Linked DNA regions of Schizosaccharomyces pombe. The gene in region 2 interacts genetically with the main gene of each other region. Each region holds a gene or a part of one and is shown on either strand. Other genes may lie near its edges.

Region 1 (7,730 bases), 2.3 Mb from region 2:
CATTGTTGTTTTTCACGCGAACAAACCCAACTTTTGTATTAGACTTTTCTAATTTTTGCTTATAAACCTCTTCAATAAACTCAACAATCCAACTCTGAAATTCGGGCTGAATGATTGGAGGTAAATGACTTTTAATGTGCCATGAAACAACTGTCTGTGGTTCTTCATTTGTAGCTGAAAAATTTGCTGCCACCATTTTTCCTCCATAATTAACGGAATCCATCCATAAAAGATAATCCCAGTATTCCGTGACATTTAGATCCAAAAAGTGAAATAGTGGTAACGTCTTAATGGATTTGAGTAAATAATTTGAATAAGTGACAGCGTTCTGGACGATTAATTTGCTCGTTTTGATTAATATTTTATTAGCAGAAGCGTGTATGATATGTGCTCCAAGGCGTTTTATCTCAGAGAGAAGTTGTAAAAAAGTTTTTCTCATTATAACTTCCACGTGCGAGGAGAGTAAAGGACTGTACAGATAAGATTTTGATGAAGAAATCCATCGGGCTAAATGTTGAATTATAAGATCAGCGAGATTATTACCGGATGCAGCTTCGTTCCACCAAGTTTTAACCAACGCCTTCAACACCGGCAATGAATGTGTCAGTCCAATATTATCATGTATTCCCAACTTTTCCTCCAGATCATCATTTATGGCGGTCATGTAATTATCATTCAAAGCTGCCATGTCGCCAATACCTTCTATGTCATTTATGAGAGCAGAATTGAGAATGCTACAAAGTGCAAGGTTGGAAAGAGAAATGTCAACACAAGCATTTGAATAAGCACCAGGATTGTTAACTTCTAGTGGATCTTTGGGACTGGCAATCTGCAGAATACTATCCTTCTCAATACCACCTAAGTCTGGAGTTGGGCCTTTATTCCACCAAAGGATAATATTATGTTCTTTCAGCTTTCTAGAGTAAACAACATCGATACTGTACTGAATGTCATCGCTTTCAAAGTTGCATAATGGGATATCTGAGAAGCGAGAAAGTTGTATGCGATGGAAAAGCCAGCTACCAATAGCTAAGAAATGTTGGATCATTTTCGTAGCAATGTGTTGTTTCCAAGAAAGAGACTGTATGTTGCTCTCAAGCCGTGGTATCATTATATACGGAAGCTCTTCAATTTGCTTCACATTTGCCTTCAATATGTGAGGGAGTGAACTTTCAATAATAAGCAGACTATTTTTAGTTTTAGTTGAAAAATATTGAAGCAACTTTTCATCTATCAGTTTGTACGCTTTCCTTTCGTTTCCCGAGAAAATGACATTACACGAAAGAGTATCAGGGTATTCGATACTACTTTCCTTAATTAAATTATCAAATTTCGACCGTAGCTCTTCGTAAATTTTGCTGATTGATGGGAAAGACATATCACTACCTGGCAGTTTGTCATAAATTATGGCCTCAACTTTTTTTAAATGTGGCATAAAAAGTGAAAAAACAAACCTATTACTAATGGAAAAATGGAATGCATAAAGGTAGTTCATCTCTACTCCATCAAGATAGGAAACATCGTTATCACTTGGGTCAGTGAACATTTTAGATTCAAATCCAAATTCGAAGCCTTTACCTAACGCTCCAGGTACTGAATTATTAAACCTTTTTCTGGATCCCATTTCTAATATCAATCTTTCAATTGGTTCTATACGAGTCTCATATATTCCACTAACAGACGGATGGGCAAAAATCATAGAAATTGATACCTTTTCCGTTAAATAGCTCTTTTCTGGAATTTCAAGTAAAAAAAGCTTATCCGAAGTGCTTCCATGCGGTAATATCGCATTGCTTTTTTCAATTAAGCATCCCTCAATTTCAACATTCGGTAAAGTCTCATCTTTGAAACATACAAAAAACTTTCTATTCACAATGAACCGTATCGAGGTCAACCGATTACGAATAATTACCCAAGCATGTAAAATACCAGGAACATCGGTTTCTCGTATTTGTAAAATATGCCATAAATTTTCAAACATAACTTCAGCAGAAGATTGTAAAACATTGGTGAATTGCCTTGATTGAAACCCAATTAAATGTCTTCTTCGAAGCTTGACCTGCTTCTGATATTTCCACTTTTTCTTAGCATACTTAAGCCAATTCGAATATCCATCCATAAAGGATACAGGTTTTACTTCAAAAGATACAGGTGCTTCCGAGTTCCCAGATTGTTGTAAAAGTTTACGCTTGGTAACTCGAGCGACAATACGCTTATCTTTGTGAGTCACACTTCCTAAATCCTCAATATCAGTAACTTTTGTGTTGTTTATTGTGGATGGATTTGTAGGGGCTAAGGAGAAAATGGAATCGATCTTTTTCTGTTGGTATTTAGAATTCAAGACAGCAACTCGTTTTTGAAGCCAGTCCGGCAATGGAAAACGGGTAACGGGGTTTGAAATCCTTTGGAGAGCAGCAGGGATGCTAATTAGTTTTTGTACTACTGATCCTAGACGTTTCAAATAATAATCCCAATCAATAATGTCTCTAATATCAACATCATATAGACCATTATCTTTCAACCAGAGCCTAAGAAAATGTCGCTTAACAGATTCTTCAGCAAAGAAAATAGCTACCGGTACTGCCCTTTCTGCAACTGGCCTTCCTTTTGGACTTGCGGAAATAATAAAACGACATGCTAGACCTTTGTCTTTGGTCATTTGATCACCCAAAAAGTCAGCCAGTCGCCTGGCTGTAGTAATGGATGTCGATTTTTGGCTTCCGTATTCAGACAAAGCTTTAGACATACTACGATTCTCAGAAATCAGTTCAATTAATTCATCATCTGTTAGGTTAGAGCCTTTGGTGAATAGAATCTCTAACCAAGTGTCAGCAACATAGGCAACTTCTTGATAGCATTCCTCTAAAGAATCACCTTTCAAAAAAACTTTAAATATCTGAGATTGAAAATCCTTAATGAGCTTCAATTCTCCTCTTCTTTTCACCTCAAAGCCTTTAAGTTCAGCTAAACTACCATCGAAATTGAAAACGGCATAACGCTTTTTTAAGTTTTTACCTTCTTCCGTTGAAGCAGGCAAAATCATAGCTCTATAAGGACCATCAACCTCAAAAAAAATGCTGTTTTCACTAGTTGTTTCATACACCAATTTCTCTGGGTCCTTTAAGGCAGAATATTGATGATTGGTGAACTTTTCATGAACCAGGTGATTTAACATAACGCATGGATAAGAGATAAAAACCTTTCCTCCGGATTTCTTTTTAAATTCAAAGTTTTCAGGAAACGATTCTGGAAGAATACACCAAATACCATCTGTGTCAAGTTCCAATGGCCTACCTGCACGTTCAACTATTTGACGAGCCATCTGAATAATCGTAGCGCCTGTCAAACATGTGATACCAGCCATTTCAATCGAATACCAACGGGAGCCTTTTCGCATGACATATCCATAGAAAGAGTTTAAAATAACTTTGTGAGCTAACTGTAAAGAATCGTAGAGTACGACCATCTTTTTGGCCTCCTCTATTTCAGCAAGTCCTCCTTTTTCCTTTATAGCAGCAAGTTGTTTGACCCATTTTTTTTGCAATCCTTTAAAGTCATAACGGCGATCCCTAAAGCTTTTTACCGTATCAATATAAAATGAGTTTTCCTTTTGACAAATTATAGTTTCCCTTTCGATAACGGTATTATCATATAGACGGTGATACACTTTACGGCTGTAATCCGCAATGCGCTTTTGCACCATAGCAGCTTGTTCTGAGGGAGAAAGCTCTTGAAATGACCTAAAAGGTGAGAAAGGGGTAGGGCCTGGAAAACGCTCAGATTGTAAAGCAGAATATATCATATGATATTCACCTTTTTTAGCAGGGTAATACTCCCCTCTCCATGCCCATACCATCCGACGATCACATGTCTTATTGGGCACATTAAGATCGCATGTTGCACAAAACGATTCATCTTTTACTGAATCTGGCTGTAACCGGTTGGTAATCATAATATTTGGGTACATTGAGGCGACATCAAGATGGTAAATCCTTGGCTTCTCCGACCTTTTTGGTCGATCACGAAGGTCACTTAGTTTCTTTAATATGCTGTCTCTAACCTCTTCATAATTTTCGATTTCATCAACATTGACGTTGTTTTCAACTGTTAAAGAAAAATCTAAGGCTTTGTCCAACTGTAAAATTAGTTCTTCATAAACTTTTGGATCCATGTTGAAATTAGTCGGCAAGTCGCTTCTAAAAACACCACTTTCAAGACTTTCAACATGTCCTCCAACATAAGTCTCACTTGCAAGTAAATGACCGTCGAAAAATTTTTGACTAGCATCAACATGTTTATTCGGAAGAATAATATTTTTTGTACAAGCCTCAACAGTTAAAAGCGTTTCACACAACGTACCCGTGCCTTTACGTAAAACTTCATCAGGATTTAATGGGATAATGTTACAAAGAGAAAAAATGAAAGGATGCACATATTTCATGTAAAGAAAATAAGTAGCAACAGCATCTGAAACTGAATATTGAGCAAGAACTTGAGGTTTTTCACTTGCATAAGGAGTCATCAATTCTGGATCTAGTTCGATAGGATTATAACCTAATTTACTGACAGTGACAGCTTTGAGACCTTGACTTCCTTGAGGTAAATAACTATCTCTCTTTACCCACCGGAAGGCATCCATATGACTACAATAAGAAGACTTATATTCATCCTCTGCGTCCCTGAAGAAACCAGTTTCTTCTGTTAAATTCAATCCGTGAAATGCAGCACGTGCGTCTACAAATGGCCAGTCAAAGAAGTCACCATTGTATGTAACTATTACTGAAGGCTTTGCAGACCTTATATGTTTAAAGAATCGATGAAGTAGGCCAACTTCATCAGGCTCATTAAAAATAATAAATGGGCCCTCAAATTCCTCCCTCGGAGTATAATGAAAATCTTCAATATTCTGGGAAATAATTTCTCTATTGGTAATTAAAAATCCTTGGCCATCAATCATATAAGATATCATCATTATTTTATCGAACGAGCTATCAGGAAACTTCAATGGCAGCTTAGTGGTTTCAATATCAAAAGCCATTATAGTAGGTTCTGCACGCTCGATTCGGGAAGCTAAAAGGGATATTTGAACATGGCCTTCATGATATGAAACAGTATACCATTGTCCGACTCGAATATTCAAATCAATAAGTGTACGAGAATGATACGGAACATCGTACTCACGGATATCTAAAACATGATTTAAAGGATCTTCAAATGCGTTTTCTATAATCCCGTTTAAATTCTCCGAAGACAAGTTAGTGTATGCATCAACGGCATCTTGTTGGGAAGAATTAGCTTTCACAGCAGACATCAAAGACTTCCTGACAGCCTGAAGGTCATTCAGGTTATCAAAAACCAACTTTATATACAACTTTTGGTAACCCACTATGTGGTTTTTTAGCTGTAAATCTTCTTTAAAGATACGCGTAGTAGATTTAATTAAGCCCACAAATTTTTTTTTTAAATAATCGTCAACCAAAGCTTCTTTACCTTCTCGAGCAGCAATGTAGAAGTAAGGAGAGTATGGAATGGTACACCGGAAAGTGTCACCATCGTCTTGAATGAAGTAAAAGTCAACGGCACTGAGGGTAGAATTGCCTTTGGTGCTTTCGATTACTGTTGGATGAACGTTGAGAAGCCAAGCTTCTCGTGGTTGTCCACCTTCATAGCTATCAAAACCCATCATTCGATCAATCTCATTCTTTTTGTAGACAATTTTCATAGGATCATTGAAGCCAACTTCCTCGGTTGATTTTGCAAACGTCCTACCGTTCGATTTACTTTTTCCATTGTAGTTACCATTAAATTTCCTAAACTGATATTTGGATGCTCCTCGAGCTGTTTTTAAGGGCATAGCAATACAAAATAAATATTAAAAAAAGAAAGTAAAAAGAGACCGACAGTTTAGTAATTTCCGATTGTTACCAGAGAATTCTAAATTAATAAATGGAATAGTATTAAGAAGAAACTTCTTCTATTGTACAAACATTAGGTATCCTTTTAAATGTGATATAGTGGTTTGGATTAATACCGAGTTAAGAGGCAACAAATTGGTAAACAACAAGTCGCGTCGCGTCGACAACTTGCAAATTATTTTGGGTATCATGTTCCAGTTCAAAGCATTACAATTTATTTATTTTTGCCATAAAATAAAGACAAAGTACAAAAAAATACAAAATTTAGTATACATTAGCCTAATGATCGTGTGTTTCGACCGTAAGTAATTATTTCAAATCGATATTGCTTCCTTTAAGGATTGAATTTAAAGAAAAAAAAAAAAAAAAAAAAAGCAGTTTTCTTTTAGAGAAGCATGGTGACGCGGTTTCTGCTTTCAGTGATATAAATTGTCAAAGCTTGGTTATTTTGGCGAAATATACTATCATAAATGGAAAAGTTTATATTAATTCAAAGAAAAAAATATTGTCTGATTGCTGAAGTACAGGATTAAAGACCCCGCCATAGTAAAAAAACTTAGTAGTGCTTAATTCAATCAGTTTGATACCTTATATTTACCTCTATTCCACCATTAACTGAAAAAGCTTAAACGAATCAGTAACTATGAGTACACCAAATGAACCCGAAAAACCTGGGATTATTGACGCTTTCAAGGTAGAATTTATAGCTTAAAAAGGACTAGTTTGTTGTAAATGCAAGGAATGCTAATACTACTTGTAGTCATTGAAGATGAGTGATTTTGCTCACATGGTACACCATCCTTGTTTTAAGGAATCATTAATCACCAGTGTCGTCTGTGGTCTAGGTGTTGGTTGCATCCATTTGTTTCTTCGAGGTACGAAAAAAAACATTATGCTGGTTAATTGATGTCCGTCAAAAAAAATCGCATGTCTTTTAATTTTCGGACCAACTTTTTAAAACGGTGATTTCAATCCGTTGTTTAATAAGCGGTTTAAATTCTTGCCGACACATGCTAACAATATTCAAGCACCTATTTCTAGAGCTGCTAATTGGGGGTTCGGAACTTATTTTGGAATGAGCATCGTCTCTTGGGAAGGGTGTAATTACCGCAAGCAGCTTGAAACTAATAACTTCAACATTAAAATTACAGAAGCAGCAGAAAAGACCCCGAAGCATCGCTCTTCAAGGTCCGCTCAAGAAATTGATGAAGGTTTTAACGAGTAATTGCATTCATTTGATTCTTTAGGTTCTACTTATTCTTAAGCTCTTTTCATCCCTCTATTGCATGGTATGCTGAGTTTTTCATTTGATCGATTAACTCTTATTCAATTAATATTTTAAATTTGAGTTCATCGGAATGGTTTGTCATTTTTAAATGGTATTCATTGAAGAGTGTGAATTATCACCAAAGAATCCAATGTTGAATTTTTAACTGCCTCGAAGAATTCAATCTTTTTAGGGTGCCATTACAATGGGTGGAATACATACTCTTGGTATCTTGAACGTTGTATTAACAGCAAAAAAGTCTTAAAAATATACAGCATCCACATTTTCCCAATATTAACTAAACAATGGTAGACTTTTTGTTCGTTATTTACTTTATAAGTACTAGCTCATCTCAATCTTTCGTGCGTGTATGTTTACCCCTTTATCGTAAAGTCAGTCTACGACCTTGCGAGGGCATCGCATGATTTCAGCTAAAAACTTTCCAAAATAAAAGTAACAAGACCTTTATGGTGGTTTATTTCTACTAACTGGATGAATAAGCTATGTGATATTTTTGAATGTAAATATGTATTCTTTACGACAATTTT
Region 2 (5,015 bases):
ATCAAACTGAACCAAGCTTTGATTGCATAAAACCTTAAGTGCTCATTTTGAAAAGCACTTTGTAAATTAGAAAGTATCTGTGGTAATCCAAGTTTGACTGCACCTCCACATAAAGATAACATTTTTTCAATGCCGACAATTGTCTTAATCTTTTCATTAATTGAAGTCTTTCCTTTCAGGTCGTTAAGGATATTAGAAAATTCTGCTAAGATACCCAAAATGTGATTATTAAAAAAATCATAAAGTAATTCCTTATTGCTCAAGTCTTCGTCATTAACCACTTGAGAGACAATCATTGCTACCTTTCTTAAAGCATTTTCAATTTTTTCATGAGGAACATCATTCTGATAAAGCTGTAACAACTCCACAGTAATAGAAATAGGATCAGAGCGTAACAAAGACGTTAAATCAACTTTTTCAAAATCAGAAGTGGCCAGTGAAAGAAGAAGCATCACACTCTCTTCCAAATTAGGATGATCCGTAGTAAGTAGCGAAGCAAGGATTTTATGCATATTGGTAAGGCACAAAGTAGCAACATCACTTTGTGAAAGTTCAGCTATACGTACTATTAACGCTTTGTTTTTAGTAAGTACAAGGAATGGTAAAGTGTACGCCTGTGTTCGAATAAGAAAATCGCCCTCGGAAATATTCATAAGCTGAGCAAATAAACTGGCTATGTTCGGTTTTTTACCCATACCTTGGACAATCGCAACGGACACTGTTGGCCAATATGGAGAAAGTAATTGCCAAACGGATATATGACGCGTCGAGGCAATTTGTTGCAGAGCGCTGAGACCAATGCCTTGATAAAATATTCCGCTGTTTATCACAGAAGATATAACTTCCAATAGTACAAAATGTAATTCTTCTTCTTCTACCACTCTAGATAAGGAGATCCAGGAAAGAATGACCGTTTCTAAAATAGCTGTATTTTCCACCGCCAATATTTTCAACGTATTAAAAATCAAGGCTTTACTTTCCTTGTGAAATTCAACTATATCAAGATTATTAGGTCCCTTAATGAAAATGGGCAAAACTTTTGCAGCAACAACACGTAAACATCTTGAAGTACTGGCTAATGCTTTCATAATAAATTCTCTTAAACTTAACATTGATTCTTTATTAAAGTTTGAGCAATGCTGGCTCCACCGAAAAAAGCCATCAAGCAACAATGATTGTTTAACAGAAGAGGAAATTATGTCGGGATTTTTTAGCAATGCACAAAACAATTCGTGATAAGGAATTTTAAAGAGCGACCGCTCATCAAATAGTAAACAAAATGAGTTACAAACTTCACAACCATGTACTTCATATGTGCGGAAAATACTATTTGTTTTCTCATTCACCTTTGCAACATGAGTACACAAAACTAAAGAGAAGTTCTTCAGGTCGTCCTCACTTATTGTAACATTATGAGAGCTATAATAATCTAACATTTCACGAAAGTGCTTTAAATTAGACGGTTCATCTAAGTTGTTGTTTATACACCATTTTGCAAATGTACATATGTTATGACCATTCTGGAAATCCACTTTAAGAATATTTGACAAGTCATTGTCCAAGGAAAGATAATGTAAAAGAAAAAGGTTTAATTCAGAGTTAGAAAACAACGTGTTTTCAAGTTTACCAGTACAAATTTCGCCAAAAGCACGGAGAGTTGTTTGATCTATTTCTGAACTTTGGTATCTGCACTTAAATAATATTATTGCCTTTTTGAGATCAGAATCTGGTTCAAGTTGCTCTAATACCTTGAAGTCAGAAAGTAAGGAAACCCCAAAAGGATAGAATAGACCAGCTACAGTTTTGGGTAAAACAAATAAAGAGAGAAAAAAAAGAGATATAGCAGTATTAGCAACTGTATAAGTTTTCTTCAATGATCCCAATGTTAAGTTGATGGAGGACATTAAAATATGTTTAGATTTTTCACAAATGGGAAGGCCATGATATATAAAATTCAAGGAAAAACAGCATAAAGTTTGGACTATACGTGAATGCAAATGTAGAAAGAGCTGTGAGTCTCCGATGCTGATTCGTTTTAATAAAATAACAAAATTAAAAAAACATGGCTTGATCCAAGTCCACGCTGTAAAGAGAGGTGGACTAGGAAAATTGGATTTCTTTAAATATGAGCATTGTGCAAAAAAATGGGCACTTTCAAAGAAAAATGTACAAGCCTCCTCTATATTAATGATAAGTAAATCAAATTTGTCCTCTCGATGGGTTGGATAATTTGGGGTGATACTCTGCAATGGTTGAGAATTGGGTGAGGGCATCTTGTAAGGGAATGTAGCATTAGTGATTTGGAGAACTATAGAAGAAACGTTTGTAATATAATATTTCCAATAACGCATAAACGAAGCATATAAGTCCCATAGGAATGACTTTTCACTGATTAGCTGATAAATTAGCTTATGAAACTCTTTTAATGAGTCAAATAACTTAATAAAACGAATATCAGCAAACAATGATATAGTCCTGGGTAAAATCCAATCCAAAAGAGTAACAGATGATTTAATCTCCCGCAAAACTGTCGGAGACCTTTTTAAGATTAGCATTAACGCTTGTAGAGAGAGATGGGCTTCTTTTAGCATCTTAGGAGAGATAAATTCAGATTTTGAATCATCATGTTTAAAAGCTAGAAGACCAACTTCAATTAAAACTTCAACAAGCTCGGAGGTCATAGATGGTAAAGAATTACTTCTACCTAACTCATGTTCTTTGTCTAATGCTAATACTTCTTTCAAAAGCTGTCCGAAAGCCTGTCTGTCATCTAAGCCTCTGGGTGAAAGATCGAGTGACCCAGCTTTCCTTTTTGCGTGTTGGCTCATACTATATCAAACCATTGATTCAATTCAAAAAAAGGCCTTTTTAAAACGCAACACGCGCGTTCAAAGTCTTGAGCATTTATAAAAGACGATTGTAAGTAATAAAATATCTCAATAGAATTATGCGAAAAGTGGCAATCGATTATCAAATCGATTTCCACTCACGAGGTAAAGGAAGATGCATGGTGCACTAAGTATCGAGCGATGCTAATTAACGAGCTTTTGTGATACTGAATTTTCAGAGGAAACTAACTTTTAAGTAATATTAGGCTGGATGTTTCTGATAATGATTGAATTTTTTGACTTTTGATGTGATTATAATGGTCAATAAACAAAAAAAAAAGTTATTGTTGAAAGGTAGTAGGAGAGAAAATAAGCTATTTTACGGCTAATAAAAGAAGAAATGAGTTTTAATTCAATTATTTCTTAAATAAATAATAAGAAAATATTGAAAAGATAAGTTATAATCGCACATCCTAGTTCTCATTGACTATAGCGTCAGTGGAGCGTCATACGCAGGGCATTGGTTCACTAGATCGCGGATTCTTCTGTGTTTTATACTTACTAAGCAGTTTTTACTTGGTACCTACCTATTCACATAAATAGTGGTCAAAAAGTCGTTTACTTACTTGAAAATTTTTGTAGTGCCAGTTGTGGTACATATCGTCTTGTGTTTTCATGAAAAAAGTGATTACTACACACTTTTCAATCTGTGGAAATACGAAGTTTACGAATCTTTTGAAACGTGCATATAACGTCTCCTACCCTGTCCAAAACGTCAAAAATAATACAAAGATGGGATTTCCATTGGAAAAAAGCGAAGATGAATGGAAAAAGGAGCTAGGTCCTGAGAAGTATCGAATTATGAGACAAAAGGGTACTGAGCACCCAGGTGCAGGACGATTCACTCATCAGTTCCCTAAACAGGGCGTTTTTGTTTGCGCTGCATGTAAAGAGCTTCTTTATAAAGCTAGCACAAAGTTTGAAAGCCATTGTGGATGGCCTGCGTTTTTCGATAATTTACCTGGAAAGGTGAAACGCATTGAAGACAACTCTTATGGAATGCATCGTGTAGAAGCAGTTTGTGCCAACTGTGGTGGTCATTTAGGCCATATTTTTAAAGGAGAAGGTTATTCTAATCCTACTGACGAACGCCATTGTATAAATTCGGCGAGTTTGGAATTCCATAATGAGGCAACAAATGACAATTGAACTAGATTATGCTTAATATTTCTGTATTTTCTTTATTAGATGTTAGCACCAGTTCGAATTGTTTGTGCTTGATGTACGGCTATTATTTTATTTAAAGTTGCTTGTTCACGTTTTGGTTAACTTCAATAAAATGCATTTACTTTTAACATTTTAAACTAATATATTTTGTTTTCAAAGAGTGTAGTAATCTCTAGGTCAGAAATTAGATTTACTAGCCGTATGTTATAACTAAGCTGCTTATGCCAAAGTTAATAAACGATAACACAATGTTTACACTACCTGATATGATCTTCCATTTATTTCAACTATAAAGGGTATAACTAAAGTATCCCTCACTTAAATATTTATTAATTTGCGTACGCTTCATAGGTCATTGAAAAATTTTCGTTCTTTTTTCAGAAGATTTTAAGAAAGGAGTAAAAGATGCGTGGACTACAATAATACGCGAAGGATCCGAAAATGTCATTACATTATACTGAATAAGTATAGGATGATTCTCCTTTTACGACGAATCCAGCAATGGCTTTATATATTGGCACATTTCCATCCGTCATGTCAACCACCAAATGGATGGACTGATTATCAAGAGCGAACAGTAGTACAGTACGCGCGACGTTTTCACGAGACATCATACAATTTATGGATATCTTACCCAATGCAACTTTTCCAGAACCCTTCTCGTCTGTCATACCAGAAGGACGTAAAATCGTCCAATCAATATCACTAGAGCGTCGCACTAATTCCTGATCCGCTAGGTACTTGTAATGGTAATAAGTTCCAATTGACTGATGTATTTTCTCACTTAGCTCTATATCAGCAGCCGTATAGTAAGGAGGAGGAGGTTGGCTCATATCACGATTATCTATCGCAGATATCATAATTAAGCGTCGAATACCAGCTATCCTCATAGCATCATAAACTTTTATAGCACCTTCATAATCGACGGCTCTTGTTCGTTCAGGGCCGCCTTTACCTCCT

Evidence for each region.
Region 1: mutations in rad3 (region 2) and cdc20 are lethal when combined (synthetic lethality), as found in Schizosaccharomyces pombe (3 studies listed by BioGRID, with this or other methods).

Annotation. Positions count from the first base shown.
Region 1 is NC_003423.3:3,252,013-3,259,742, reverse strand, and holds the start of cdc20 (DNA polymerase epsilon catalytic subunit Pol2), read right to left. Parts: upstream 6,022-7,730; 5' UTR 5,855-6,021; coding exon 1-5,854. Other genes in the region: respiratory chain complex IV assembly protein Cox20, read left to right, coding at 6,559-6,609, 6,676-6,790, 6,944-7,140. UniProt on the Schizosaccharomyces pombe protein: DNA polymerase II participates in chromosomal DNA replication.
Region 2 is NC_003423.3:902,178-907,192, reverse strand, and holds the start of rad3 (ATR checkpoint kinase Rad3), read right to left. Parts: upstream 3,010-5,015; 5' UTR 2,829-3,009; coding exon 1-2,828. Other genes in the region: peptide-methionine (R)-S-oxide reductase Mxr2, read left to right, coding at 3,621-4,037; SPOM_SPBC216.03 (uncharacterized protein), read right to left, coding at 4,508-5,015. UniProt on the Schizosaccharomyces pombe protein: Serine/threonine kinase which activates checkpoint signaling upon genotoxic stresses. Involved in G2 arrest following DNA damage where it phosphorylates chk1.